4 linked regions of the Stegostoma tigrinum genome follow. The protein of the gene in region 3 purifies or fractionates together with the protein of the main gene of each other region. This does not show direct contact. Links are inferred from orthologs where the notes say so. Each region holds a gene or a part of one and is shown on either strand. Other genes may lie near its edges. The genes, in order: cul2, hdac4, hif1aa and neuronal-specific septin-3-like.

Evidence for each region.
Region 1: the proteins of hif1aa (region 3) and cul2 purify together in Homo sapiens (affinity purification with western blotting; 7 studies listed by BioGRID and IntAct, with this or other methods). This does not show direct contact. The link is inferred for Stegostoma tigrinum from reciprocal best matches to the Homo sapiens genes HIF1A and CUL2.
Region 2: the proteins of hif1aa (region 3) and hdac4 purify together in Homo sapiens (affinity purification with western blotting; 4 studies listed by BioGRID and IntAct, with this or other methods). This does not show direct contact. The link is inferred for Stegostoma tigrinum from reciprocal best matches to the Homo sapiens genes HIF1A and HDAC4.
Region 4: the proteins of hif1aa (region 3) and neuronal-specific septin-3-like purify together in Homo sapiens (affinity purification with western blotting; 4 studies listed by BioGRID and IntAct, with this or other methods). This does not show direct contact. The link is inferred for Stegostoma tigrinum from reciprocal best matches to the Homo sapiens genes HIF1A and SEPTIN9.

What each region holds. Positions count from the first base shown.
Region 1 is NC_081355.1:130,397,796-130,405,832, reverse strand, and holds the start of cul2 (cullin-2), read left to right. Parts: upstream 1-5,004; 5' UTR 5,005-5,206; intron 5,207-8,037.
Region 2 is NC_081360.1:21,568,417-21,575,263, reverse strand, and holds the start of hdac4 (histone deacetylase 4), read left to right. Parts: upstream 1-3,809; 5' UTR 3,810-3,938; coding exon 3,939-4,047; intron 4,048-4,091; exon of another isoform or gene 4,092-4,871; intron 4,872-5,074; exon of another isoform or gene 5,075-5,089; coding exon of another isoform or gene 5,090-5,114; intron 5,115-5,466; coding exon 5,467-5,538; intron 5,539-6,847. UniProt on the Homo sapiens protein: Responsible for the deacetylation of lysine residues on the N-terminal part of the core histones (H2A, H2B, H3 and H4).
Region 3 is NC_081363.1:29,394,075-29,401,895, reverse strand, and holds the start of hif1aa (hypoxia inducible factor 1 subunit alpha a), read left to right. Parts: upstream 1-4,818; coding exon 4,819-5,044; intron 5,045-7,821.
Region 4 is NC_081375.1:33,918,730-33,926,474, reverse strand, and holds the start of neuronal-specific septin-3-like, read left to right. Parts: upstream 1-4,733; 5' UTR 4,734-4,757; coding exon 4,758-4,788; intron 4,789-7,745.

The sequences.
Region 1 (8,037 bases), on a different chromosome or scaffold from region 3:
AGTGAGTGAGTGTGATCCGGATTGGGTGTGTGAGTGAGTGAGTGAGTGTGATCCGGATTGAGTGTGTGAGTGAGTGTGATCTGGATTGAGTGAGTGTGATCCGGATTGAGTGAGTGAGTGTGAACCAGATTGAGTGTGAGTGTGATCCGGATTGAGTGAGTGAGTGTGATCCGGATTGAGTGTATGAGTGAGTGTGATCCGGATTGAGCATGTGAGTGAGTGAGTGTGATCTGGATTGGGCGTGTGAGTGAGTGAGTGAGTGTGATCCGGATTGAGTGAGTGAGTTTGATTGGGATTGAGTGTGTGAGTCAGTGTGATCCGGATTGAGTGAGTGAGTGTGATCCAGATCGAGTGTTTGAGTGAGTGAGATCTGGATTGAGTGTGAGAGTGAGTGAGTGAGTGTGATCCGGATTGAGTGAGTGAGTTTGATTGGGGTTGAGTGTGTGAGTGAGTGTGATCCGGATTGAGTGAGTGAGTGAGATCCGGATTGAGTGTTTGAGTGAGTGAGTGAGTGTGATCCGGATTGAGTGAGTGCGATCCGGATTGAGTGAGTGAGTGAGTGTGATCCAGATTGAGTGAGTGAGTTTGATTGGGATTGAGTGTGTGAGTGAGTGTGATCCGGATTGAGTGTGTGAGTGAGTGTGATCCGGATTGAGTGAGTGAGTTTGATTGGGATTGAGTGTGTGAGTGAGTGAGTGTGATCCGGATTGAGTGTGTGAGTGAGTGTGATCCGGATTGAGTGTGAGTGTGATCCGGATTGAGTGAGTGAGTGTGATCCGGATTGAGTATTTGAGTGAGTGAGTGCGATCTGGATTGAGTGTGTGAGTGAGTGCGATCCGGATTGAGTGTGTGAGTGAGTGTGATCAGGATTGAGGGTGTGAATGAGTGAGTGAGTGTGATCCGGACTGAGTGAGTGTGTGGGTGGGTGAGTGAGTGAGTGAGTGAGTGAGAGAGAGAGATCGGGATTGAGTGTGTGAATGAGTGCGTGAGTGTGATCCGGATTGAGTGTGTGAGTGTGAGCTGGATTGAGCATGTGAGTGAGTGAGTGTGATCCGGATTGAGTGAGTGAGGTTGATTTGGATTGAGTGTGTGAGTGAGTGTGATCCAAATTGAGTGTTTGAGTGAGTGTGATCCGGATTGAGCGTGTGAGTGAGTGTGATCCTGATTGAGTGAGTGAGTTTGATTGGGATTGAGTGTGTGTGAGTGAGTGAGTGTGATCCAGATTGAACGTGTGAGTGAGTGAGTGTGATCTGGATTGAGCGTGTGAGTGAGTGTGATTCGGATTGAGTGAGTGAGTTTCATTGGGATTGAGTGTGTGAGTGAGTGAGTGAGTGTGATCTGGATTGAGTGTGTGAGTGAGTGTGATCCAGATTGAGTGAGTGAGTCAGTGTGATCTGGATTGAGCGTGTGAGTGAGTGAGTGTGATCGGGATTGAGTGTGTGAGTGAGTCTGATCTGGATTGAGTGTGTGAGTGAGTGAGTGAGTGTGATCCGGATTGAGTGAGTGAGTTTGATTGAGATTGAGTGTGTGAGTGAGTGAGTGAGTGTGATCCGGATTGGGTGTGTGAGTGAGTGTGATCCGGATTGAGTGTGTGAGTGAGTGAGTGAGTGTGATCCGGATTGAGTGAGTGAGTTTGATTGAGATTGAGTGTGTGAGTGAGTGAGTGAGTGAGTGTGATCCGGATTGGGTGTGTGAGTGAGTGTGATCCGGATTGAGCGTGTGAGTGAGTGAGTGAGTGTGATCCGGATTCAGTGTGTGTGAGTGAGTGAGTGTGATCTGGATTGAGTGTGTGAATGAGTGTGATCCAGATTGAGTGAGTGAGTGAGTGAGAACCAGATTGAGTGTGAGTGTGATCCGGATTGAGTGAGTGAGTTAGTGTGATCCGGATTGAGTGTGTGAGTGAGTGTGATCCAGATTGAGCATGTCGTGATCTGGATTGGGCGTGTGAGTGAGTGAGTTGGTGAGTGAGTTTGATTGAGATTGAGTCTGTGAGTGAGTGAGTGAGTGTGATCCGGATTGGGTGTGTGAGTGAGTGTGATCCGGATTGAGTGTGTGAGTGAGTGAGTTGGTGAGTGAGTTTGATTGAGATTGAGTGTGTGAGTGAGTGAGTGTGATCCGGATTGAGTGTGTGAGTGAGTGTGATCCGGATTGAGTGAGTGAGTTTGATTGGGATTGAGTGTGTGAGTGAGTGAGTGAGTGTGATCTGGATTGTGCGTGTGAGTGAGTGAGTGTGATCCGGATTGAGTGTGTGAGTGAGTGTGATCCGGATTGAGTGAGTGAGTTTGATTGGGATTGAGTGTGTGAGTGAGTGAGTGAGTGTGATCTGGATTGAGTGTGTGAGTGAGTGTGATCTGGATTGAGTGAGTGAGTTTGATTGGGATTGAGTGTGTGAGTGAGTGAGTGAGATCTGGATTGAGTGTGTGAGTGAGTGTGATCCGGATTGAGTGAGTAAGTGAGTGTGATCCGGATTGAGTGTTTGAGTGAGTGAGTGAGTGTGATCCAGATTGAGTGACTGAGTGAGTGCGATCCGGATTGAGTGAGTGAGTGAGTGTGATCCGGATTGAGTGAGTGAGTTTGATTGAGATTGAGTGTGTGAGTGAGTGTGATCCGGATTGAGTGTTTGAGTGAGTGTGATCCAAATTGAGTGAGTGCGATCCGGATTGAGTGTGTGAGTGAGTGTGATCGGGATTGAGGGTGTGAATGAGTGAGTGAATGTGATCCGGATCCAGATTGAGTGTGCGTGATCCGGATTGAGTTTGATTGAGATTGAGTCTGTGAGTGAGTGAGTGAGTGTGATCCGGATTGGGTGTGTGAGTGAGTGTGATCCGGATTGAGTGTGTGAGTGAGTGAGTTGGTGAGTGAGTTTGATTGAGATTGAGTGTGTGAGTGAGTGAGTGTGATCCGGATTGAGTGTGTGAGTGAGTGTGATCCGGATTGAGTGAGTGAGTTTGATTGGGATTGAGTGTGTGAGTGAGTGAGTGAGTGTGATCTGGATTGAGCGTGTGAGTGAGTGAGTGTGATCCGGATTGAGTGTGTGAGTGAGTGTGATCCGGATTGAGTGAGTGAGTTTGATTGGGATTGAGTGTGTGAGTGAGTGAGTGAGTGTGATCTGGATTGAGTGTGTGAGTGAGTGTGATCTGGATTGAGTGAGTGAGTTTGATTGGGATTGAGTGTGTGAGTGAGTGAGTGAGATCTGGATTGAGTGTGTGAGTGAGTGTGATCCGGATTGAGTGAGTAAGTGAGTGTGATCCGGATTGAGTGTTTGAGTGAGTGAGTGAGTGTGATCCAGATTGAGTGACTGAGTGAGTGCGATCCGGATTGAGTGAGTGAGTGAGTGTGATCCGGATTGAGTGAGTGAGTTTGATTGAGATTGAGTGTGTGAGTGAGTGTGATCCGGATTGAGTGTTTGAGTGAGTGTGATCCAAATTGAGTGAGTGCGATCCGGATTGAGTGTGTGAGTGAGTGTGATCGGGATTGAGGGTGTGAATGAGTGAGTGAATGTGATCCGGATCCAGATTGAGTGTGCGTGATCCGGATTGAGTGTGTGAGTGAGTGAGTGTGATCCGGATTGAGTGTGTGAGTTTGTGAGAGTGATCCAGATTGCGTGTGTGAGTGAGTGTGATCGGGACTGAGTGTGTGAATGAGTGAGTGAGTGTGATCCGGATTGAGTGTGTCAGTGCGTGTGATCCGGATTGAGTGTTTGAGTGAGTGAGTGTAATCCGGATTGAGTGAGTGAGTGAGTGTGATCTGGATTGAGTGTGATTGAGTGAATGTGATCTGGATTGATTGATTGAGTGAGTGTGAGTGTGATCGGGATTGAGTGTGTGAATGAGTGAGTGAGTGTGATCCAGATTGAGTGTTTGAGTGAGTGAGTGTGATCTGGATTGAGTGTGTGAGTTTGATTGGGATTGAGCGTGTGAGTTTGATTGCGATTGAGTGTGTGAGTGAGTGAGTGTGATCCGGATTGAGTGTGAGAATGAGTGAGTGCGTGTGATCTGGATTGAGTGTGTGAATGACTGAGTGAGTGCGATCCGGATTGAGTGAGTGAATGACTGAGTGAGTGCGATCCGGATTGAGTGAGTGAGTGAGAGAGATCCGGATTGAGTGTGTGAATGAGTGAGTGAGTGTGATCCGGATTGAGTGTGTGTGAGATCCGGATTGAGTGAGTGAGTGTGATCCGGATTGAGTGTGTGTGAGTGTGAGCCGGATTGAGTGTGTGAGTGAGTGAGTGAGTGTGAACCGGATTGAGTGTGAGTGTGATCCGGATTGACTGAGTGAGTGTGATCCGGATTGAGTGAGTGAGTGACTGCAATCCGGATTGAGTGAGTGTGATCCGGATTGAGTGTGTGAGTGAGTGAGTGAGTGTGAACCGGATTGAGTGTGAGTATGATCCGGATTGAGTGAGTGAGTGACTGCAATCCGGATTGAGTGAGTGTGATCCGGATTGAGTGAGTGAGTGTGATCCGTGTTGAGTGTGTGAGTGAGTGAGTGTGATCCGGATTGAGTGAGTGTGATCCAGATTGAGTAAATGAGTGCGATCCGGATTGAGTGTGTGAATGAGTGAGTGAGTCTGATCCGGATTGAGTGTGTGAATGAGTGAGTGAGTGTGATCCGGATTGAGTGTGAGTGTGAGCCGGATTGAGTGTGTGTGTGTGTGTGATCCGGATTGAGTGTGTGTGAGTGAGTGTGATCCGGATTGAGTGTTTGTGAGTGAGTGTGAGCCGGATTGAGTGTGTGTGAGTGAGTGTGATCCGGATTGAGTGTTTGTGAGTGAGTGTGAGCCGGATTGAGTGTGTGTGAGTGAGTGTGATCCGGATTGAGTGTTTGTGAGTGAGTGTGAGCCGGATTGAGTGTTTGTGAGTGAGTGTGATCCGGATTGAGTGTGTGTGAGTGAGTGTGATCCGGATTGAGTGTTTGTGAGTGAGTGTGAGCCGGATTGAGTGTGTGTGAGTGAGTGTGATCCGGATTGAGTGTGTGTGAGTGAGTGTGATCCGGATTGAGTGTTTGTGAGTGAGTGTGAGCCGGATTGCCAGGCGGACAGGGGTCGCTCTCTCTCTCTCTCCGTGTGTGTCAGTCCGGGAGCCGCGGTTGCCGCACACACTCACACTGAGACTGAGAGAGACGCCGCTGGGAACAGCCCAGCCCCGGAGCCGAGCGGCCGCCGTGGATTCAGCGAAGACGATCAGTTGGAGGCCGGGCTCGGACGGTGAGGAGCTCGGTGCGGGACACGGTCGGCGTTTTTGTGAACGGGTAGCCGGCTGTCTGCCTGGGCCCCAGGCCGTCCTGGCCCTGCCGGGGAGGGGGAGGATGCGGCCTGTCGGCCCCCGGTGTCAGTTTAACGGTGACTCGGCGCCTTCGGGTTGCTCTCGGGCTGGGCCTGAGCGGAGAGGCCGCGGCGGGGGTGCCGGCTGTTGTAGGAGGTTTCAAAGCCTGTGTCCAGGGCCAGTGTCTCGTTGAAGGGCACGGGAGGCGCCCCGGGGCCGGGCCAGGCCAGGGCTGGGCTGTGGAAAGAAGCTTCAGGGGTCGGGAGCAAACAGCTGAGAATTAAACATCATGTCACTTTACCCGCCCTCCTCTGCCCCAACTCTCACCTGCACACCCTCCCCCCCCCTTCCCCCCCCCCCACGTTCCCCCCCTTCCCCCCCCCCCCACGTTCCCCCCCTTCCCCCCCCCCCCACGTTCCCCCCCTTCCCCCCCCCCACGTTCCCCCCCTTCCCCCCCCCCCACGTTCCCCCCCTTCCCCCCCCCACGTTCCCCCCCCCGTTCCCCCTCATCCCCCCCCCGTTCCCCCTCATCCCCCCCCCGTTCCCCCTCATCCCCCCCCCGTTCCCCCTCATCCCCCCCCGTTCCCCCTCATCCCCCCCCGTTCCCCCTCATCCCCCCCGTTCCCCCTCATCCCCCCCCCGTTCCGCCTCATCCCCCCCCCGTTCCCCCTCATCCCCCCCCCCGTTCCCCCTCATCCCCCCCCGTTCCCCCTCATCCCCCCCCCGTTCCCCCTCATCCCCCCCCCGTTCCCCCTCATCCCCCCCCCGTTCCCCCTCATCCCCCCCCGTTCCCCCTCATCCCCCCCGTTCCCCCTCATCTCCCCCCCGTTCCCCCTCATCCACCCCCCCCGTTCCCCCTCATCCACCCCCCCGTTCCCCCTCATCCACCCCCCCCGTTCCCCCTCCCCGTCCCCCCCCCGTCCCCCCCCCGTCCCCCCCCCGTCCCCCCCCCGTTCCCCCCCCGTGTTCCCCCCCCCGTGTTCCCCCCCCCCCGTGTTCCCCCCCCCCCGTGTTCCCCCCCCCCGTGTTCCCCCCCCCGTTCCCCCCCCCCGTGTTCCCCCCCCCGTGTTCCCCCCCCCCGTGTTCCCCCCCCCCGTGTTCCCCCCCCCCGTGTTCCCCCCCCCCCGTGTTCCCCCCCCCCCCGTGTTCCCCCCCCCCGTGTTCCCCCCCCCCCGTGTTCCCCCCCCCCCGTGTTCCCCCCCCCCCGTGTTCCCCCCCCCCGTGTTCCCCCCCCCGTGTTCCCCCCCCCCGTGTTCCCCCCCCCGTGTTCCCCCCCCCGTGTCCCCCCCCCCGTGTCCCCCCCCCCCGTGTCCCCCCCCCCGTGTTCCCCCCCCCCGTGTTCCCCCCCCCCGTGTTCCCCCCCCCGTGTTCCCCCCCCCCGTGTTCCCCCCCCCCGTGTTCTCCCCCCCCCGTGTTCTCCCCCCCCCCGTGTTCTCCCCCCCCCGTGTTCTCCCCCCCCCGTGTTCTCCCCCCCCCGTGTTCCCCCCCCCCGTGTTCCCCCCCCCCGTGTTCTCCCCCCCCCGTTCCCCCCCCCCCCGTTCCCCCCCCCCCCGTTTTCCCCCCCCCGTTTTCCCCCCCCCCGTTTTCCCCCCCCGTTCCCCCCCCCCGTTTTCCCCGTTCCCCCCCCCCGTTCCCCCCCCCCGTTGTTCCCCCCCCCGTTCCCCCCCCCATTTCCCCCCCCGTTTCTCCCCCCCCCCGTTTCCCCCCCCGTTTCCCCCCCCCGTTTCCCCCCCCCGTTTCTCCCCCCCCCGTTTCCCCCCCCCCCGTTTCCCCCCCCCCCGTTTCCCCCCCCCCCGTTTCCCCCCCCCCGTTTCCCCCCCCGTTTCCCCCCCCGTTTCCCCCCCCCCGTTTCCCCCCCCGTTTCCCCCCCCGTTCCCCCTCATCCCCCCCCCGTTCCCCCTCATCCCCCCCCGTTCCCCCTCATCCCCCCCCGTTCCCCCTCATCTCCCCCCCCGTTCCCCCTCATCTCCCCCCCAGTTCCCCCTCATATCCCCCCCCGTTCCCCCTCATATCCCCCCCCGTTCCCCCTCATATCCCCCCCCGTTCCCCCTCATATCCCCCCCCGTTCCCCCTCATCTCCCCCCCAGTTCCCCCTCATCCCCCCCCGTTCCCCCTCATCCCCTCCCCCCGTTCCCCCTCATCACCTCCCCCCGTTCCGCCTCATCCCCCCCGTTCCCCCTCATCCCCCCCTCATCCCCCCCGTTCCCCGTCATCCCCCCCGTTCCCCGTCATCCCCCCCGTTCCCCGTCATCCCCCCCGTTCCCCCTCATCCCCCCGTTCCCCCTCATCCCCCCCCGTTCCCCCTCATCCCCCCCGTTCCCTCTCATCCCCTCCCCCCGTTCCCCCTCAACCCCCCCGTTCCCCCTCATCCCCTCCCCATCCCCCCTCGTCCCCTCCCCATCCCCCCTCGTCCCCTCCCCATCCCCCCTCGTCCCCTCCCCATCCCTCCCCGTTCCCTCCCCATCCCCCCCCGTTCCCTCCCCATCCCCCCCCGTTCCCCCTCATCCCCTCCCCCCTTCCCCCTCATCCCCTCCCCCCGTTCCCCCTCATCCCCCCGTTCCCCCTCATCCCCTCCCCCCGTTCCCCCTCATCCCCTCCCCCCGTTCCCCCTCATCCCCCCGCCGTTCCCCCTCATCCACCCCCGGTCCCCCTCATCCCCCCCCTCATATTCCCCCCTCATCCCCCCCCTCATATTCCCCCCTCATCCCCCCGTTCCCCCTCATCCCCCCCCGTTCCCCCTCATCCCCCCCCGTTCCCCCTCATCCCCCCCCGT
Region 2 (6,847 bases), on a different chromosome or scaffold from region 3:
TACATTTATAAAAGTTGTGATTTCCTTTCAATTGCAATAAATTTGACATGAATGTGCAGCATGTTTTGTTTCATTTGCCAAATTATGCATGTCAAATTCAGACATTTGTCTAAGATATTTGCACACCAAACATGTTGTTTGACTACAGATTTTATTCCTCACCAACTCTCTTAAGTAGATAGACTGTTTGTTTTAAATTTTCATCCGAATAAGGTAAGTTAAATCTTGTTAATTAAGCCATGGCAATGTTTTTAAAATAATCTTAAATTAATCTCAAAATGAACCTTAACAGCAAGAAGAGAGTTTAAATGTTAATGCAGATCACCAGTGAAAATAAAATTACCTATTGTATATTTGTACAATTGAATATTTTTGGCATGCTTTTGTATCATTATTTTATTGAGAACTGAGCAATGTTTTGATTTAACTCTGGAGGTGGATTGTGCTGTCCCCATCATAAGTGCTACATTACAAAACCGCCAAGAATTTGATGATTTGAGAAATTTGGACTTTTGGTCAACTCTAGGAGAACAGAATCTGCTTGGATTTTTTAAAAGAGTATCTGCTGTGTCCTGAGCTTGAATAGTTTTTTTAAAAAACTTCATTCAGAGAAGGTGAACTTTGCTGGCTGGGCTAACAGTTTTTGGCCAATCCTTAGAATATGGGAATTAGCTACTGCCATCCATCTTTTATCTAGATATGCCCTCAGTTTTTAATAGTGGGGACTCGAGGATCTTGACCCAGTGCCACTGAACGAATGGCAATATATCCACTTTAGGATGGTGAGTGGCATGGAGAGGAGCTCGCAGTTCAAGGAGTTCCTTTGTATCTGCTGCCCTTATCCTTCTAGGTCATGTTCGGAAGGTGCTGCTGTCTAAGGAGTTTGGGTAAATTTTTGACAGTGCATCTTGTAGATGGTAAACACTGCTAATAACTATGCATCGGTGGTGGAGGGAGTCATTTTCTGTGGATCTGGTGTTAGTCAAGCAGACTGCTTTGTCCTGGACGGTATCAAGCTTCTTGAATGATTTGGAGCTGTACGATCTAGGCAAGTGGAGAGTGTTCCATCACACTCCAGACTTGTACCTAATGGTGGTGGTAGAAAAACACTGGGGAGTCAGGAAGGTGAGTTACTTGCTGCTTACTGAGATATCTAACAAAGCAAACATTTATTTACACTGTCTGTTGATTGCAGTAAGCTTGTTACCATTGTTTTTCAGTCAATCTGTTAAACTCCAGAAGAAAGAAAGAACACTTACAGCAATAATACTAATTTACAATTTTTGGTTATTTTAGCTGAGGGGATGGTAGTGCACAGATTTTTAAATGGATTAGTGGTAGTACATATTCATGAAGCCCCATTTAGAATACAGTGTCCAATTTTGGGCCCCGCACCTCAGAAAGGACATACTGGCCCTGGAGCGTGTCCAGTGGTGATTCACACAAATGATCCCTGGAATGGTAGGTTTAACATATGATGAACGGCTAAGGATCCTGGGATTGTATTCATTAGAGTTTAGAAGGTTGAGGGGAGATCTAATAGAAACTTACAAAGTAATGTATGGCTTAGAAAAGGTGGACGCTGGAAAGTTGTTTCCATTAGGTGCGGAGACTAGGACCCGTGGGCACAGCCTTAGAATTAGAGGGGGTAAATTTAAAACTGAAATGAGACGACATTTCTTCAGCCTGAGAGTGGTGGGCTTGTGGAATTCATTGCCACGGAGTGCAGCAGCGGCCGGGACGTTGGATGCCTTCAAGGCAGGGATCAACAAATTCTTGATCTCACAAGGAATCAAGGGCTATTGGGAGAGTGCAGGGAAGTTGCATTGAAATGCCCATCAGCCATGATTTAAATGGCGGAGTGGACTCGTTGGGCCAAATGGCCTTACTTCCGCTCCTATGTCTTATGGTCTTAAGACCGATTGTGTACTATTTATGTTAAAATGAAGAGGATAATAACACAGAAATTGGAATGCCTTCTGTCGACTCATGTATTGTTTCACATTCACAAAGATCAATGAAGATTAGGCTCGGAAATAGCCAAGATTAGCAGAACCAGGTAGAGATAAATTTAAAGAATTGATAATTTCTCTGTAAGGAATACCTCCTATTAGTGCATTAAATGGAAGTTTGATCTTTCTTTGTAGTCTGGTCATAAAATAAAATTTGTTGAACCTTTGAAGAATGCTGGTTTAACAACTTGTCAAATCATCAGTTTTTCTTTGTTTTTCTCCAGTATAACACCATTTCCTTTTGGATAGGCTTCAAGTTTGTTGCAATTGGATTTATGAGAATTATTTTTTGTAAATAAAATGACGTACTTGCAACTAATTACTAGTCAATTTATACCAAGTTAATTTTGAAGTATTTCTGGCATTGTAACAATACCTTTTCTCCTGTTAACTGTAGTTGATAACAAATCTTGGTGTACAGCAATATTAAAATAATCCCTAGTTTCGGTAGTCATATTCCAAAGGGTATGCATCTCTTTCCTTTACTTTATAAATTACTAAACTATTAGAACAATGATTTTGAAATGTAAAGAAAAACAATATTTTATGTATTCTCTGATCTACATCTTCAATGCATTAAAATTTAAAATTTCCTACTCATCAAATTATTGCTATGTTCAACCTCACATCTGCAATGTTCTCCTTTCCCAAGTCAGTGGTGTCGTCTTGACATTCCTGTCTGTAAATCCCTGCTTTGTCCAGCTATTAAACGCAAAGGCCACAGTGACCCTGACTTCTCTTCTGTGAAATTTTCTTTCATCTCCTCAAAATGTCATTTGACCAAGCTATCTGTCCTCCCCTAACTTCTTCCCCAGCTTTGCTGTTCAATTTCTTTTTGAATTTGTGAAGTGCTTTGGGGTATTCTTTTACTTAAAATTTATAATGAAGTAGTATTTATTGTTATGTAACTTTGTTATCTTGTAGAATTGCTACTCGATTGACAATGTCGATCAGTAATTGCTATCAGTTTAGATTAAGTATTTTAATGAATTGAGAATTGCGGCTATTAATGTTTTATTGTCATGAGCTGCCATATTGAATATAAATACCCTTCATGGCAACTTAAGAAATAAATATGGCTACTTCATCTACAAATACCATATGTTCTTGTGTAATGATTTTATAAATTGGCTCACGTTTAAATTTATAACGAAACTAATAATTAATATTAGGCTGTTGTTACTTTGGCTCGCAATTACTTTCACTGTCTTAACTTATGCATAATGTTTTCCCCCCAGTGGGTTTCCTACATAAAATTTGCTTATGATATATGCGGAGTAAACTAGTTCGCGCAATTTGCAATGTGCTCATGTTGACGGCGGACATCTTAGCAACATACGTATTCAACAGAGTATAGGTCCCTTTTATATTCTCCTAATAACTGCAGACAACTTGACAATAGCAAAGTGGAAAGACCTTCCTCGGCACAGGGAATCTCTGAGATTGGGGGTTTGTACCCATTCTCACGGCCATCTAGTTCAACTACCACTATGAACTATGGTTTGACCTGCCGGTTGCCAGTAGTGCACGCATGTTTATAAGGAAGTTATGTAACAAAATTTGGGCACATCAGGAGCGAAATGAAAATCCCATTTCATTCGATCAGCAATATTTTGTTGCCGAAGAAAGGCTTAATTTGCTACTTAGTTTTTATTTTTGAGGGATTTTGTGGAATTCCAAAATCGCAAAAAATAGAGGGGGAATAGGTACACTAATGCATAATATGGATAGGACTTCGTGAACTCCCTGTGCTTTTCGATTTTGGCTGGGGAATGGAACATGAAAGCTGATTGGGTTCAGCAAGTCGCTTTCTATCGCTTTCAATGTAAATAATATGCGACGCAGCTTGACTTTGGCGATTCCACATTGAATAGTGCTCCTTTGCTTGCGGAATATACAATAACTTATTCAGTTCGTAAGAATTGAATGAAATCGGGTCATTTCCTTGCTGATTGCGTCATTATAGCCTGCTGCTGGAGGTGCTTTCTGTCTTTTTACAATGCATTGGTGAAAACTGTCAGAACAAACTCGGGGGGTGAGGAGATATTCATTCTTTTCAGTGTTTCATATTTTAAAAGAAGCGGCGTTACTTACTCAGGTGTCGCAGTAGATAAGCAGTTGATTGGATTTTATGCAAGGAGTTACAATGCAGAAATTTTCCAAGTCGCCTGTACTGTATAGGAGTCACTGTAAATGGTACGTGCAATGCTTCTCCAAGCCGGTCCTCATACTTTGATTGTTAGATATTTTTGTGTGGCCTTGAATATGCAGTAGACGGTGGCTTGCATACCAAAAAAAGTATTACCATTGCCTGGCTGTTCCGAAAAGAGTCGAACAACTTCCCTCGTTGGGCCAAGTCATGGAAATGAAGCCAATTTTTTTTCCCTCTGTTTCTATCTGATTTACGCTTAATGTATTGTAATGCCACTTCGGTTGTTATATTACATTTTTGTATAACTAGAGTTTTGATGGCCTTCCGACGAGACGAAATTTGTTTTAAAAACGGCAAGTAAACTGTAGCACCTCTTTCGCCAAAGAGTTAAATGTGTGAAGAGCGAAGTGAAACTGGAGATCTGACAATCGAACAGAGGCGAATTCCAAAACAAGTTGAACTACTGATAATTGTTTCTTTTGCATTAGTGTGAAGCTGAAAGGAATCTGAAAGTCAGTCCAATGCCAGAAAGGTTCACAAAAATTTAATTTTAAAACGAAAGCCTAATCTTGCTGTAAAAACGGTTGTCATAAATCTGTACCCATCGAGCAGAGAATGCAGAATAGGGTAAGATGGCCCATTATATGTGCGTGTAACAGATGCAGGAGTTAAATAGTGTACGACTCCTGTATGTAAGGCGATTTGAAATAAATGTTATTCTCTCGATTTCATCTTTCAATCTGACGTTTCCTGACCATAAACAGAGTTGTTTCTCACTGGCCATTGAGGCCTGACATACTGCGTCCCTCTTGAGTTTATGCATTTTAATCTCCTGCAATGTTCAGGCTATTTTTAGCTCCCACTCCCAGGGTTCGGTTTCTGTTAACAGCAAGCCACATTGTTGGTAAATCACATGTAAAATGAAATGCCTATCTTTCTCTGCTTCCCCAGTACGTACGTCTGTGGCGAACGGTTGATATTGTGTTTTCAGTCACTTTGTCAATTACAAATGCATATTAGGATACAACTTGGAAAACATCGTGAAATTCTGACAATTTAAAGAAATGAAATATTATTTATTCCGAAAGGGCTCCATTGTTTATGATTTGAAGATTGGCTCCATGCCTAGGTAGGCGTGCGGTCTATGTAAACTTTGTGTAAAAGAAACAATCAGTTAAAAGTACTATTCTGGAGAGTGATTTTTGTCCCTACCCCGGCACCCCGCGCTGTTAGAAACAAAACTGCCTGGATTGCAACAGATACTGCAGACTGTAATTGCGACTGAATCCTTTTCAATTTCAGATGGACTTTCCGGTCGAGATCAGTCGATTGAGTTGCTGACCCCTTCAAGAGTGAATCACACGCCCAGTACTGGTAAGACCAAATTTTTAATTGAGACATTCATTTACCAAATAAAATCAAGTCACGAACTACCTTCTAGATGTTGCCAACCCCCAGAATGGAAACTATTTTACAATGAAGAATTGATACTGTTGGCTACTTAGCTGTGTTTTTGTTCATTCCGAAGTGTTCCTTTTTCACTCATGGGACGTTGCTGGTTGGCCATAATTTATTCCCCGTCCCCAATTAACTTTGAGAAGCTGGTATCGAGCTGCCTTACAGAAACGCTGCAGTCGATCTGCTGTGGGTTGAGCACCATGCCCTTGGGGAGGGGATTCCAGTATTTTGACCCAAAGAGAGTGAAAGAACAGCAGTGTATTTCCAAGTCAGGAATTCCAGGGTTTTAATTAGGATGGCAAGTGGCTTGAAGGAGAACTTGGAAGTAGTGGTGTTCCCATCTATCTTCTGCCGTTGTCCTTGTAGATGAGCAGTCGTGAATTTGGAAAATGCTGCCCAAGAATCTTTGAATTTTTGCAGGGTATCTCGTAAACAGAACACACCGCTGCTACTGAGCATCCGTGGTGGAGGGAGTGGATACTAGTAGATGTAGTGTCAATCAAACAGGTGGCTTTTTCTGGACGGTGTCAAGCTTTTCTTGAGTGTTGTTGGAGCTGCACCTAACTAAGCAAATGGCTAGTACTCTTTCAGACTCCTGACTTGTACCTTGTAGGTGGTGCATAGGTTTTGGTGAAGCAGGAGGTGAATTACTCACTAGTATTCCTGGACTATGACCTATTTTTGTAGCCACCATGTTTTGTAGCAAGTCCAGTTGCGTTTCTAGTTGATGTAACCCCCAGGGTGTTGATAGTTGGGGATGGTAGCACAATTGAATGTCAAGGGGCAGTGGTGAGTTGGTCATTGCCTGGCATTTATGTGGTGTAAATGTTACTTGCCACTTGTCTAGATCTCGTTGCATTAAAACATGGACTCCTTCTGGAGCCGAGCAATTATGAATAGTGCTGAACATAATCTAGTTGTTGGCAACATCACCACTTCTGGCCTCATGATGGAGGGAAGGTTATTGATGAAGCGATGATTGATGGTTAGGCCTAGGGCACTATCTTGTGCAACTCCTGCAGAGATGCCCAGAGCTCAGATGACTGACTTGCGACAGCCTCAGCCATCTTCCTTTGTGCCAGGTATAACTCCAACCAGTAGTGAGATTACCCATTATTTCCAGTTTTGCTGGGACTTCTTGACGTCATACTTAGTTGAATGCAGCCACAATGTCGACAGCTGTCACTCTCGCCTCACCTCTGGAGTTCAGTTCTTTTGTCCGTGT
Region 3 (7,821 bases):
GATCTCAACGTGAGGTGTTTGACAAAAGACCCAACTGCAACATGAAAGTGTTTTTGTGCAGCGGGTGGTTGGGAACTTCAGGTGCACTGCCTACGTTTGTGGTAGAAGATACATTCTTAGCTGTCTAAAGTAAATCCGATAAGCACCTGGAGCTACGAGCAGGACGATGGACATTTATACTAGAAGTATAAATTTGGAAATGAATAGATCGATTAAAGTAATGAGCAAAAGATCATGTAAGAAAAAATGTCGCTTTCTGTGTCAATTTGAACACACAAATTTTGAGAACTGGACCAACAGTTTTCACTACCCTTTAAATATATCCAGGCTTGGGCTGATGTGAGGCAGGAATGTTATTTCCCATCTGACTGTCAGATATTGGCCATCTCTCCATGATATTTAATGGCATTACCAATGCCAAATTTGCCATTCAACATCCTGCAGGTTACCACTGATCAGAAACTGAACTGGATCAGCCATATGAATCAGTAGCCACAACGACACGAAAGAGCTACTTCCTCCGTCTCACCCTTGTCCATTCACCAACTGCAGAATAAAAGTTGCAGTTTTGGAAAGTGCTGTCAAAGTAGCCTTTAGAAGATGCTGAACTGCAACTTGTAGGTAGTACACACTGCTGTCAGTGCTGGAGAGTAAATATTTCAGGTGGTCGAACTGGTGTCAAACACCTCACCTGTTTTGACCTGAGTGGTAGCAAAGTTTGAATGCTGTTAAGTCCACCAATGACATTTTTTTTTTTCACAAAAACTCCGCGGTAGATTTCAACAAAATTTGGTAGAGAGAGAGAGTTCACTGGCCAAGGAGACACATTTTTAAATTTTGTTTGTTGATTTGAGCATCCATAGCTAGGACTGTTTTTATTGCCTCTGTCTAATAGCCCTGGAACAGAGTGCCTTGCAACTTGACTCAATTTAGCTTGGAAAAAATAGCATTGATGTAGATCTGGTGTCATGTGTAAGCCAGATGACACACATCCTTCTGAAAAGAAGTTTGTGTTTACAACCATCAACATGGTCACCATTTTGTCATCCGCTTTGTAGAACACCTACACTCAGTTCACAGTAAACAACTGCACCTCCCAGTCGCGAACCATTTCAACTCCCCTTCCCATTCCTTAGTCTACATGTCCATCCTGGGCCTCCTGCAGTGCCATAATGATGCCACTCGTAGGTTGCAGGAACAGCAACTCATATTCTCATAACTCACTTATAAGAAGGATGTGGAAGCTTTGGAAAGGGTGCAGGGGAGATTTACTAGGATGTTGCCTGGTACGGAGGGAAGGTCTTACGAGGAAAGGCTGAGGGACTTGAGGCTGTTTTCGTTAGAAGAAGGTTGAGAGGTGACTTAATTGAGACATATAAAATAATCAGAGGGTTAGATAGGGTGGATAGGGAGAGCCTTTTTCCTAGGATGGTGACAGCGAGCACGAGGGGGCATAGCTTTAAATTGAGGGGTGAAAGATATGGGACAGATGTCAGAGGTAGTTTATTTACTCAGAGTAGTAAGGAAATGGAACGCTTTGCCTGCAACGGTAGTAGATTCGCCAACTTTAGGTACATTTAAGTCGTCGTTGGACAAGCATATGGACGTACATGGAATAGTGTAGGTTAGATGGGCTTGAGATCGGTATGACAGGTCGGCACAACATCGAGGGCCAAAGGGCTCGTACTGTGCTGTAATGTTCTATGTTCTATGTTCCTCTTGGAAACCCTGCAGCCCAATGGTATCAATGTGGATTTCACCAGCTTCAAAATCTCCCCTCCCCCCACTGCATCCCAAAACCAGCCCTGCCTGCCTAACCTGTTCTTCCTCTCACCTATCCCCTCCTCCCACCTCAAGCCACACCTCCACTTTCTACCTACTAACCTCATCCTGCTCCCTTGACCTGTCCGTCCTCCCCGGATTGACTTATCCCCTCCCTACCTCCCCACCCATACTCTCCTCTCCACTTATCTTCTTTTCTCTCCATCTTCGGTCTGCCTCCCCCTCTCTCCCTATTTATTTCAGAATCCTCTCCCCATCCCCCTTTTCTGATGAAGGGTCTTGGCCCGGAACGTCAGCTTTTGTGCTCCTCAGATGCTGCTTGGCCTGCTGTGTTCATCCAGCCCCACACTTTGTTATGGTCACCATTTAACACAGCTATTTTTAATTCCAGGTTTATTGAGCTCAAATTTCACCATCTGCCACAGTAAGATTTTGAACGTGAGTTCCCAGATCATTAGATTGGAATAGTAATCCAAATAATAATAAGCTCCAGTGACATTAGCACTTTGCCACCAACTCACTTAGATGAGTTTTTTGGCAAAGATGCAGGTTCAGATCACAGATATTTTTTGGGCGTTTTGTAAACTTCGGGACATTGGGCAATTTCTAAATCAATCCACATTGTTCTTTTAAAAGAAGTTGTGCAGTGTAAGCACAGCTTTCAAGGTAGGTTGTTTAATACAGATTGCCCTACCAGTTAGGGAGCCTGGGACTTGAGAGAGTGCAATCTAAAAGTTGTGTTAAGTCAGTGAAGTCAACTTCTATGCAAGGTAGTAGAAGTTTGCAACTTGTATGAAAATTCATGCTAGATTACATGGATTAAGGTTGCCAATTTTGTTAGCCAAAGATAATGAGGGGTATTGGGCAAAGGCAGGGAATGGAGATGTGCTGCAGGTCATCTGTGATCTCATTAAATTATGGAACAGGCTGAAAGAGCGCATTTGTTTAATTCTGTTCTTAAGAATCTGCAGCAAATATAGATTATTCTACAGGAGAATTTTATTTGATGTTACTTCATTGCTTTAAAAAAATGTTACTGGTACACGTTAAATAAGCTATGGATTATTTTCAAAGTAACTCAGTTTTGTGACCCGGAAACCTTTGATCGGAAAGAAAAATAGTAAAGGAAACCTAAAGATACTCTGGTGTTGCAGCATTTCAAGAGAGGAAAACAATGTTAACATTTGAGATCTGAAACTTTGTATGTAATGCTCTCCTTACACTCTCTCCTTTGTGTTGCTCCAACTTTGCCTTTGTTTCTTTTAAGATTGAATAGTGCAAATATTGTAATAATGTTACAATCTAACTGTATAATTGAAATGTTAGTCTGGTATTCAGAAAGTATCCAGCTGTTCAAGTTAGGCAGGTGGCTCAGTATGCAATATTGATGATCTGCTTTTCGAATACCACTATAATTGTTGCAGTTGTTTTTCACAATAATAACCATAAACCGAGTACATGATTGAGGTTTTTCAAAAAAGGTTTTCATTTGGGATTGATATTTTTAAAACTTTTCATTTTAGCTGCTTTTCAGTATGTTTGATCTCACAAAAGAAATATTGTTTTGGTTTTGTTACAGTGTCATCTAGTGGTGAGTGTGGGTATTAAGGATTGCAATTGTCACAGCAATATCCTTAGCCTTGTCTTACCCCCGGCTCCTCGAACCACATGGATTTTGGCATGCCTTTATTTAGGCTACTGGAAATTGAATGTAAAATCTCGGTTAAGAAGAGGCCTTTAGCACTATGTAGCGCTAAACCCTGGGGAATCTAAATTTGTTAATGTGATCACTTTTTTCAGTTGAAATAAAAATCAAAGTTTACTTACTGAATTTAAACTATTAGAATACATGACTACATCTTTTTTTAAATTCATAATTGAGTTCATTTTTTTGACGAGCAGTGCAAAGACAGGAAGATCACCGGCCTGGTCAATTGTTGATTAATTGGTTGGGCTCTCTGAACTTGGGATGGCAGAAATCAGCTCAGGCTCTGTCTCCCGCTGTCTTTCCAGTGAACTTAGGGAAGTGTGTGTATTTGTACCTTTGAAACAGGTCATAAGTATTTTGGCAAATTAATGGGTTGGGTCCATTGGCAAGGATGAAATGTATCCACATGGATATAGGTTGAGTGTCTACATTCTCTCTCTCAGCTAAAACAATAGGCTCTAGCCCAAAGGCGTACTTGGAAGAAGCTGTCTTACTGACCTGGAAGGACTGGCTGACTGCTGAGCCACAATAATTGATGGACTTTGCTGAGGGTAACTACATACCTTTTAATCACTTGATTTTGTTTCATTGACTGCCGTAGGAGATAGAAAATTTTCAAATAATGGTTTTTCTTAACAAGGAGTTGCTTATTGATCTGAGAGATGAGTGTTGTAAAATGGGAAAAATTAGGAAAACATTCAATAGTTCAATTGACAATAGATTTTCAGGCTAATCCCAATCCCTGAATCTGACAGTTTTGACTTCAATGACTGAAGTTCTGTTATAAATAACAGTATGGTACCACGAACAGCTTTCTTCTGTATTTGCCTTCTGCGAGTAAAATAAAAATGAAGTATTTAATCAAATATTTGTCTGTCTGTTTATCTTTTCTTTCATATTGTATTAGATTGTATATTCCAAAAGTTGAATAACCATTTCAGTTCAGAGTACTATTCGGAGTTAAGATTCTTAACAGTGTTTCATGGGCAATCTCTAAAGTTTAAGACTTTACTTGTTAAAGATGCTGCATCAAAACGGTCAAGTCTTAGGAGCTCATTTATGTTACTCTGTTTTGAAGATTTATCTTTGTGGAGTCGTCAAGCAATACGCAATGCAGCCAATCTGAAGTTTATTTAAACACATCACTGTATTTTTTTTTGCCCTCTGCAAAATGTTAAGGTTTGGTATTTTTCCTGTTACTTCCTAAGCAGGGTTTGAGGTTGTTTTGTGCCTTGTGTGATTATTGGCAGTATTTGCCATATGTTCCCTGTTCTGGAATTGAATTTAAGGTGCACGTGAAGCTATTTGTTGCATTCTTGTTAGCTGACATGGCTTCTTACAGTTCTACTTTGAATACCAGCAGTGGTAGTTCCGAGAGAAGAAAGGAGAAGTCTCGTGATGCTGCGAGATTCCGAAGGGGCAAAGAGTCGGAGGTCTTCTATGAACTGGCTCGTGAACTCCCTCTTCCTCACAGTGTCACTTCTCATCTCGATAAAGCGTCTATCATGAGGCTAACTATCAGCTACTTGCGCATGAGAAAATTGCTTAATGCTGGTGAGTAATTTGTAGTAATTTAAAGTAGGTAGCATTTTTATATAAGTGACTAACAATTTAAACTAATTTACTGGCTGTGAAGCACTTTGGAATGTTCTGAGGACGTTTGAAAGATGAAGTATAAATACACAGCAATTTCTTTGTGCCCAAACTCTAATAGCTTTAGAACATTTACGTAGCTTTTCCATAAGTTGCCACAGATTTATTTTGCACCCAACATGGAAGGAAAGATTTGGCATGCCGTTTGTTAATTTTTTTTTGCTTCATAGGTCTCATTTCACTGAAACTGTGCCTCTGTACTAGCTACTTATTTCCAAACACGACATCATTTTATTTTATGCTAAGTGGAGAAATGCTGCAAATGTTTACAGTATTATTGGCTGGATTGTGGGACAGTGCTGATAATGAAGCTATTAGTCGCCGTTGCCTTCATTCCACTGAACTATGGAAATCCCAAAAGTTTCTGAGATTCTTTTCTAAAGGCCGTGTTGTTGAAACACCCCTCCTCCTCCTCACTACACAATAATGGGAATTACTTGAACTAACGAACATTTCCAGTTTTGCATTGTGCATCTTACTGTCAAAAACCCACAAAAATGTTATACCCTATGGCTACTCAAACTCTCTCATTGCTCCTGAGAAATAAAAAAATTGACATTCTAGACAAAAATTTAAGTAATAGCTATTTCATTTATATTTTTTCTTCCGGCTAACAGTTAAAATGAGTACAAATAAATACAACTTTGTTTTAACTGGCAAAATTCACAAATACTGTACTGAGATCTACTGTGATATGAGTATTTATGCTGTAAATAAATTATACCAGTGATGTAAACGTCCCCATCTTCACATTTCTCTGACTTAGCATGCATTTTTACATGGATTTTAGGAGGTGTGGTGATGTTTTGGTAGGCTTTTTTGAGGGATATTGATACTGGAACCTTTGCTTGGCCAGAATTTACTGCAGTTGTGTGCATGTCATGATTATCCAGAATATTTTATCACCCGACACTTGCCTAGTCCTATGGGTGCCACCTAACTAAAAGGTTTGCTGTATAAACAGTCAGTCATCTCAATATTTGAAAATTTAAAAGCATTGGAGATTGTATTTGCATGGGAATACTCAATCCCTTTGGTTGCTTACATGCTTGCTTACATCTCTGATACTGTAGATGAAGATATCCTATTTTTAAATCGTTGTCAGGAAAAGCAACAACCATACCAAAGATTTGCTGCATATTTGGAGTGGGATGGGTAGTGCAACTTGAGGTAAAGTGGCCTGAAGTGCTGCTGACTACCTAATTGAGGCCAATGTATCTGGTATTTTTTTAATATGCATTATAGTTTCAAATGTAATTGGATGCTTTCAGAATAAAGTTGTTGCTGAATCTTGATTCTATAAACAATTTTAAAATAACATACCCTATCTAAATACTTTAAGTGCAAGTTGTTCTGATTAATTATTATCATGTCTTAAACATTCAGGGTTTTTCATGTAGGTGGATGACAAAATGGCTACCATACCCAAGTAAACTAAACCTTGGTTAATGACTGTTGTTTTCAAAAGATGTAGCAGGGCTTAGAGATGGAATTCCATGAGTCTGTGGGTGGAGAGGTGAGGTCAGGTGTTTAAGGCACAGCGACCACTGGTGGGGGTGAAGAGAATGAGGGATGCATCAAACGATAGAGACCCTAGTTTAGGCCAATTCTGACCAGTTAGGATCAATAATGTTTGAATGGTATGTTGGCCTTCATTGCAAGAGATTTTTCAGTACAGGAACAGGTGTGTTGTTGCAGTTATTCAGGTCTTGGTGAAGCCACACTCAGAATATTGTGTGCAGTTTTGGTCTCCTTTTGAGGAAGGATGCTTTTACACTCGAGGGAGTGCAGCGAAGGTTTACCAGGTTGATTCCAAGAATGGTGTGTCTGATGTATGAGGAAAGATTGACTAGGTTGGGATTGTTTTTGCTGGAATTCAGACGAACGAGGTGAGGACATGGTAGATGTTCCCAATGACGGATTTGTCCAGAACTGGGGTCACCATCTGAGGATTCAGGATAGACCATTTAGGACAGAGATGAGGAGACAGTTCTTCACTCAAAGAGCGGTGAGCCTGTGGAATTAAAATAGTTGATGCCAAAACACTGAACGTATTCAAGAAGCAACGAGAGATAGCACTTGGGGCAAATGGGATCAAGTGTTACGGGGAGAAAGCAGAATTAGGCTGTTGAGTTGGACGAACAGCCATGATTGTGAAAAATGGCAGAGCAGGCTCAAGGGGCCAAATGGTCACCTCCTGCTCCTATGTTCTGTGTTTCTCTCCCTGACTTATGATTTTGGATCGCAGTTGTACTGTTACTTACTGTGATACAGGTGTACAATATATTACTGTTTATGAATTTTTAAAATTGAGGCTGATGTGATTTTGGTTTTGGTTAAAATGTTTCTTAAATAGACGTCCGAAAGTCATTGGAAAAGACACGAAGATGTAATTTTCAAGAACGCATGTAACTAAGTGCCTAACTAGATACCTGAGAGTTAATTAAAGTGTTTACAAAGTGGAGTCTTTTTTTTCTAAAGGGCGTTTAGGTAGGGCTTGTTGTTTTGAGTTCTGTTCAGAATCTGGCTTTAGTTCAGGAAACGAATTCTGTCTTAGAAGAATTTTCACATGCGAAGGTTCCAACCTGTAAGAATTCATGTATGAGTTTTCACACAGTCAGAACTGAAAGATGTTTGGGCTAACAGGGCTGGAAAGAAGCCTCTTGGCCATCCAAACT
Region 4 (7,745 bases), on a different chromosome or scaffold from region 3:
CTTTGATCTTCATGTACTGGATATTTTGATAGGGGAGATGATCTACTTTAAAACCATCATGTGAGCTTTGGTCAGTTTTTCTGGAAATATAAATGAGTAACAGGAAGTTTCTTCTTGGTTTGTAACTTTGAAAATAATTAAAAAGTGAGCTCATTATTGTGGGATCCATAAACGTAAGTTTAAAAGTAATTTATTTCTACAATATGCAATGAATAGACAAAAAGCTCTGTAAAATGTTAACTAAAATAGGTAATGACTAAACATTCATATCAGTTTTCCGTTTGGTGTTTGATGACTAATTGTAAAGTCTGTCAACATTACCATGCCCATTCCAGTTTGAGCAAGAAGCTTTTTTAAACAACTATGCAGCAGCTGTATAGCAGGACATTGATCTGAGCCAAAATGTATATTTCCATGGTTGTAAATTTGTTTTGTTAAGTAAATAAAGGAAGCAAGATGTCATTTTGGTATTATTAGCAAAAAGCTCTCATTGGTAGAGTTTGACAGATTTGTTCTACTTTGCTTTCTTAAGGCAGTGCATTTTCTGCTTTTCTGTCAACTTTGTTTTTTTTTCTAGTTGCTCAGACAGGATCGGAGCTGTACCCTGCTTGTGCAGTAACATCAGGTTTTTCTCTTAATATAAACATTTAATGCATTCCAGACAGTGTTTCTGGATATGCGTACATAACATGAAACACATTCCCCACTTTCTGTTTCTCTTATTTTAATCAGCTCTTTGGAATAAGGCTGACTGACTACGCATCTGTCTCTGGTAAAAGTTACTACATTTTTCTTTTAAAAACACTTCAAGTGGGCACTACCTATACAACTTTTTTAGATGCTGTGTTTTTTTTTATTTAGCACATTCTGTACACTTGCAACATAAATCTGAAGCATGTCTGGATTTCTTGGCTCGGTAACGTCAGTTTGATAATTATCTAAATTTATTGTGCATGCTGCTTCACCTTTTAGATATATTCAATTGGATATTCCCAAGGTATTATCATCAATTGAGAGAGAGTTTTCTTTTGAGTCTCCTTTGGTTTATGTTGTTCCAATGCATTACTGTTTTAGGCACTCTCTACCATCTCCCCTGCAACCCCTCCCCCCACCCTCCATAAAGAAACCTTCCTGCATTTTTGCAATTGAGTGAATCAAAGTCCTGATTTTTAATAGATATCTTGTTAAATTTTTCAGTAAAACTTCAAGGTCACTATTTTCTTAATGTAAATTTTGTCACCTTGCACTATTTTTAGGTTCTGTCACAAACCATGTACCTTAAAATCACACAGGGACATTTGTATCTATAAATAAAGATTTTTGTTCCACTCGAGTATATCAAATTAAAAGTTATTTTGCAGCATGTCAAACTTATTTTCCCAGTGTAACTTTAAAGGTATTCCAAGAAACCTATTGGCTCTGATATTCTTAATTGTTTGCCAGAAAGACATCAGGCAATTATGATTTCTTTGGCAGCCAGCTACAAATATAAGGCCAGAAGGTTTTATCCCATACACCAAAATTCCTCATCTTGTCTGGTTTCCAGTTTTACGGAGTATAGGATGAAAAATGTATGATATATGTACTGGCAGCATTCAACAGGCTGTTGTGACAAAGTTGCATTTCTGTTACAAAAAGGACCTCACGTTTCCACCTATTTGAAATAATTATCTCAATAATTTATAATTGTGCTTAAGATATTGCATGTCAAAATGTGGAGCCTTCAACAAGGCTAAAATGAAGTCTCTTGAGACCAGACACTATTAATACCTATAGTTTGACATTTTCCAAACTCATTGACTATTGCAGACTCCTAATCGTACACACTCTGAATTATCTGCTGTCTTTTAACACAACAAGCTGTTGAGATGAACTTGATCAGACAAGTCCTCTTTTATCCCATAAATAGTTTCCCCTAAAGAGTTTTACCTACATGTGAGTTAGACTTGATGCAATATTTCTTTATCTGTTTAAACCTATCCCAGGAATTCAGGATACAATTGAAAGGGTCTTCCTATTATTCAACAAGCACTTACAGAATTTAATCATTGATGTATGAAAAACCATGGTATGTCTTTCCATTGCATATACGGCTTGGATATGTGTCAAGTTAATCTTAAACCCAACTTTTATGTAATCCAGCTGTTCTATGAACTGAAAATAGTAAACCTCACATTTGGCACCAGCGTTCCTCAGCTAGGAAAATACAGGGGTGGCTCAGAGTACCACACTTCCCATTTCTGATTTGTTATCTACCTCTATCTCAAACTGGAAAGTAAATCTCTGAGCTGTGATCTCATCCATAGTTGAAGAGCTTGTTGCTAATCACTCCCGTAAAAGAATGACACTACAGTGAGTTGAGGGTGATTTCTGGCATCATAGCACTCTTCCCAGGGAAGAGGAATTGCTTTCATGGCAAAAGAAAATTTAAGGAGCAAGACTTTTTAGTAATCATGCGTTGAAAGTATGTTTCCTGTCTACTACTTCACTGTCTTTATTTTTTAAAAAAAATTGAAATGGATGTTTAATAGGCACACCATCCATTGATTTCAATATTGAAATTTAGCTCATTGTTTCATTTCCCTTTTTGTGCACGATAATAAAACAGGAGCCTAAAATTCTTCATCTTAATAAAAATACCATACGAATATATGTTTTACTTCAATTGGAAATCAAGCATCATCAAACAAAGTCCATTCGTATCAAACGTTTTTTAATTCCAACAATGTCTGAATATCTACATAATTGCTACAGGAGCAGGTCACAGGCCGGGAACTCTGTGGCCTTTGACTCTTCTCGGGTCTCCCCTCAAAGTTTAACAGCGTTGCCAGAAAGGAATGTGTTCTTCGTTAACTGGGAAGAGAGCATCTCAAACAAGTCTAGACACTCAACAGCATTTGAAACAAAGGTCTCAACTTGATTGGCTCCCCATGATCTTACCCCATCATGGGGCACTGTCACTGCAGGATTTACCATTTGATGCAATGCAAAGTTCAATTAGCACTTTCCAAAATCAAAATGTTTTGTCACATGGCAGGACTGAGGAAACAGTTGTGAATGAGTGGAAATAACATGACATCCAAGTCACACACTAAGTTAACATGGATATATATTATTGCTCCTTTATTGTTGGGTAAAATTCCTGGAATATACTATCTAATAGTACTGCAAGGCTACCTTCACCATATGGACTGCCATGATTCAAGGAAGCAGATCACTGCTAATGTAGATTGCCTTTTCATTGATGTTGATCCACATAACACATCACAGTGATTCAGGTTCTTGTTGAAAAAGTTGTCTTTTAAGTTTATTAACAAACACAAACAATTTACACCACTTCATTATAACACACTAAGACACATGGTCTCCATCCTGTTACTAATGTTACTGTACATTTCATAGACATAAGTGCTAGGAGCAGGAGGAGGCAACTCAGCATCCTTTTCTCCCCACCACCCCTCCCAAACCTGCTCTGACCAACATACTGCACTGGCTCCACTGAAAATGCAGTGTGACTGAAGGTCAGGTGGATGCCTTTTATATTCAATGATGTAATGTAACTGTATTGAAGGTACATACCTTTCTGGTCTAGAATCCATGCAGGATACTCTGTCCAGTTTCTTCTCTCTCTAAATAAAACCTTTTCCCTTAAATGTGTCCAGGAATGTATGTGGATACTATCTATGTACATTCAAATAATGCCTTAGTGAATGTGCAACATGGCCAGATTTAGCTTTACACAGTTATCATGGATTTGGTGTAAATTCATTCTGCAGTGTGCAGTCTGTCATCATGGATGTATATTGTTGTTGACTGGCATAATCCTCCAAGTGAATGTGAAGTTGCTAAGTTGAGGGAAGGTGCGGCAAATATTTTTAGATGTGATGCCTAAAATTGTCACTTTTTTCTTAAATTAAGAAGTGAAATATGCAGTGAACAATCCAACAACGAGTGTTGCTTGATTTGGATTTCTCACTAAAATAACGTCAAGCTGAACTGTGAACTGCAAGGATAGGACAGGGACTTGATACCTGTGATCAGTGCTGTGAATGTCTGTGGTCCTCAATTTTTTTCTAAGAAAGTGCTGCATCATTTCCTGGAGTCTGGAAAAATACTAGAGAAGTGTCAAAGACCAAGAAAAACTGTTCCACTCAGAAAATGTCCAGTGCACACCTGAGGAAGTTAGCAGGACAATTCAAGAATTCAGCATGATGAAACAAATCATTGTTTGTCTTGAATCTATTCTTTCCTGTGTACGTTAGGGGGTTGATTACCAAATCCCATAAGGTATTTGACTTGCAAAGCAGTGGACTCGATAATACAGATAATTACTATGCAATGTTTATATTGAGCTGAACGTCAGATCATGGAATTGATTTTATTTTGGGGCGGGGGGGGAAGTTGTAAACATGGGAAAAATATCTGCCAATATCATTAAGTTGGAGACGCCATTGACACAAAAAAAACTTTTAGCCCATTGCATGTGTGCCTGTCAAAAACAGCCAGAGGTAATTCTGCTATAACATGTTTCATTAATGTGAATTAGTTGTAACATGATTGAATACCAGACACCATTTGGATAATGCAAACATTCTCCAGTGCAGGTCAATTTCCCTATATTGCGCTTTTCTGTAGCGTAAGGTCACATGAGCACAATTATCACGTTTATAGGAGAACCACCTGCACTTACCTTTTCAAATCCTAATTTTCAGCACTCAGCATCATGTGCACATCTTAAATACTACCGAACTGTTACGATGGTTTCTGCCTCTACGACTCTTCTAGACGGTGAGTTCCAGATTGTCCACACCCCCGGGGTGTGGAAAAAATATTTCTGACATCCCTTCTAAAGCTCTTGCCTTTACTTTACTCCAAGCCTCCTGATCATTGATTCCTCTACAATGTCTATTGGCCTCATAATTTTATACATCTCAATCCTGCCCTCCCTCAATCTCCTGTGCTCCAAGGAAAACAACACTTTCTGTCCAAATTTTCAGGTATCTGTCCTTTTGAAGTGAAAGCTTTTGGTTTTGACTTCACATACTTGTGAGACATTCATCCACCAGATGAACGCAATGATCTCCAAATATCATACCCATCCCACAGGCCTTGAATATGCCTGTTATCGCTGTATGTGACTAGCAGGCTTAAGCTACAACATGCTTTCAAGGCACAGGTAGGTAATGTGTAGTCATAGATGTCACACTGAGACAGGGTGAGTCGACGACAAGCTCAATAATAATATGTGCTTGGTTTTAGATTTATACAGCACTAAAAATAAACTTTGTTCTAGATTTACTTTGGAGTGGATCCTGAGTTGGACATGAATTCAGAAAGTGAACTTGTGTCTTTAAAAAGGTTTAACATACCTTAAAACACCTTTAACACCTTAAAAAGGTTGGAGACCCCAACTCTAGGTGATTGGGCTATAATGTATAGGTAATGCAATGTCTTGTAGAAGATAGCTCGTGTATTTCATAAAATACTGCACGCTGTCTTGGTCAGTGAGAAAACCCACACTTCATATTATTGACTGCTGTAATAGTTGCACCAGAGACCATCAATTGCTAGCCTGCTGCTACTGTATTGAACTTTCTTCGTTCTTTGAGTTATCCACCAATGGTGTCATTGTTGTTTGTACAGAAAGGTGTGGAGTCAACGATTGTTCCCATAACCCTTCATTTAAGTTAGCTTTGGTGAAATCACATTGTGTACATCTGTGTAGACATCTGCCTGTGAATGTGCCAATCATTGCACCTCGTACCGGACGATATGGCCTCAACTTGAGCCTGTGTACCCTGAAATTAACCTTAACTTTAAGCTGGTTTATTTTGAAAGTCATTTTTCCTAAAGTGAACTTCACACTTTTTAAAACTTCAGTGCCCAAAAGAAGAATAACTTTTGTTACCTGACATTCCTTCAGTTATATGCACTCAGCTTGATCACCATGCCAGATAATAGACTGATGGTGAACTGAGAGGTGAGAAAGGGCACAAGGGATAACCAAGTCCTCATCCTCAGCAAGCCTTCATGGCATAGGCTGTACAGTTAAACCTGTGATGCTGAGAACTTCTAATTCCATGGATCCTCAGAGATGTGAGGGTCCTTGGTCCCTGCCAGTTTTGTTCTGCTGTCACCCAACATGTACAATCCTGCCTCACAGAAGGACAAAATTGTTGTCATTGTTGCATTGTGCTTTGATACATTCAGGTTTTCAGCTATGGCAATGCATTAAAGCAATGAGAAGTAAATATAAGCCTTATGGAATTGGTAGTTCTGATTGTGAAATAAAGTTTTTCAGTATAACGTGAGCCCTGAGATCCAGGGATGATTAATTTGTGAATGATGACAGTGTAAGAGATGTTGATCATCTACATGAGGTCATTAGAGCTTTTGTGGCACTGTTCCTGGGCCCTTTGGAATAGATTGTGGTGAGTGACTTTCCTGACCACATGCTGCTATTCACTTCGGAGAATGAGCCTTGAGCCCACGCCCTACCCCCAGAACCCCTGCAAAGCTCCACCATTAATACCACAAGTGCCAAATCCATCACATTTAGGATCTGCCTCTGCACTGCAGTTTAGTTTTTCATCTTCTAAATTACATTAGAATTTAATGCAGGTGCCTTTTTAAAAGTGCAAGATGCCTTTAAGAATTTGTGGGTCAATTTCAGCAGTTGGTATCTGAACAAAGACGATCTCTCCCTCATGGTGAGAGCAGACACTACCATCAGTATGCTGATGTAGGAAATAGCTTGGGACCAGCTTGATCATATTCTATTGATAAGGTAGGTATGCCAAATGGATTAGCTACCTACCTCATTTGAACCATAGAGAGAGAAAGAAGTCATGATTCATGCCCTCCAGGCCCTCCCAACTCCTTGCACCCAAAAGCTAGAAGTAATTAAATAGGAGATAAACTTCTAATCCTTAACCTACATTGAACCAGCACAATTTTTAGTAACTGATGTAAAATGAAATTTTGTTTATTTGCTTGTTCTACCTTCTATGTTCATAATGCTTCTTCTTACATTCTTTTGGCTAGAGCCTTGTGCAGTTTTGCTTACACAGCTGGAAATGGATTTATGATATGAATACTTTTTTGAATAATATCTAGCACAAACTCTGTAGGATGACATGAGAGTGACAGCCCTTGATGGCAAGGTCATGTGTGACTTAGTGTGAAATCAGGAGGCCCTAGCAAAACTGGAATGAATTGGAACCAGGCTAAGGACCAGAATTCGACCTGCAGTTTGAGAGGGAGACTCTCTGTTGACTGAAGTCATGCTTCACACAAAGGAAGATGATTGCATTTGTTGGAGATTAATCATCTCCGTTTCAGTCTGTCTTTGCAAGAGATTGTTAGGATAATATCCTCAGCCAGAATATCTTCAGCTACTTCATGAGTTCAGAGTGGGAATGTTCACTGAATCAGAATATCCTTTTATTGTCACATGTACTGCATTGTAGAAGTACAGTGAAAAGCTTTTCACAACATCTGCCTCTTGCAGTACCATCCTGGGTACAAGCACCTAGGCATACATCTTGGATACATAAGAGGAATAAAAAGTAGTTGCATTACTTTTACAGTGTTTAAAAATAAGGTGTGCAGCAGAAATCCATCAAGACTCCTCATTCAACAAATTCACAACTTCTATTATTTAGAAGGCCAAGGGCAACAGGTACATGGAAACTTCAGCAGTTGCAAGATCTGCATCAAACTATTCACCAACCTGATATGGAAAT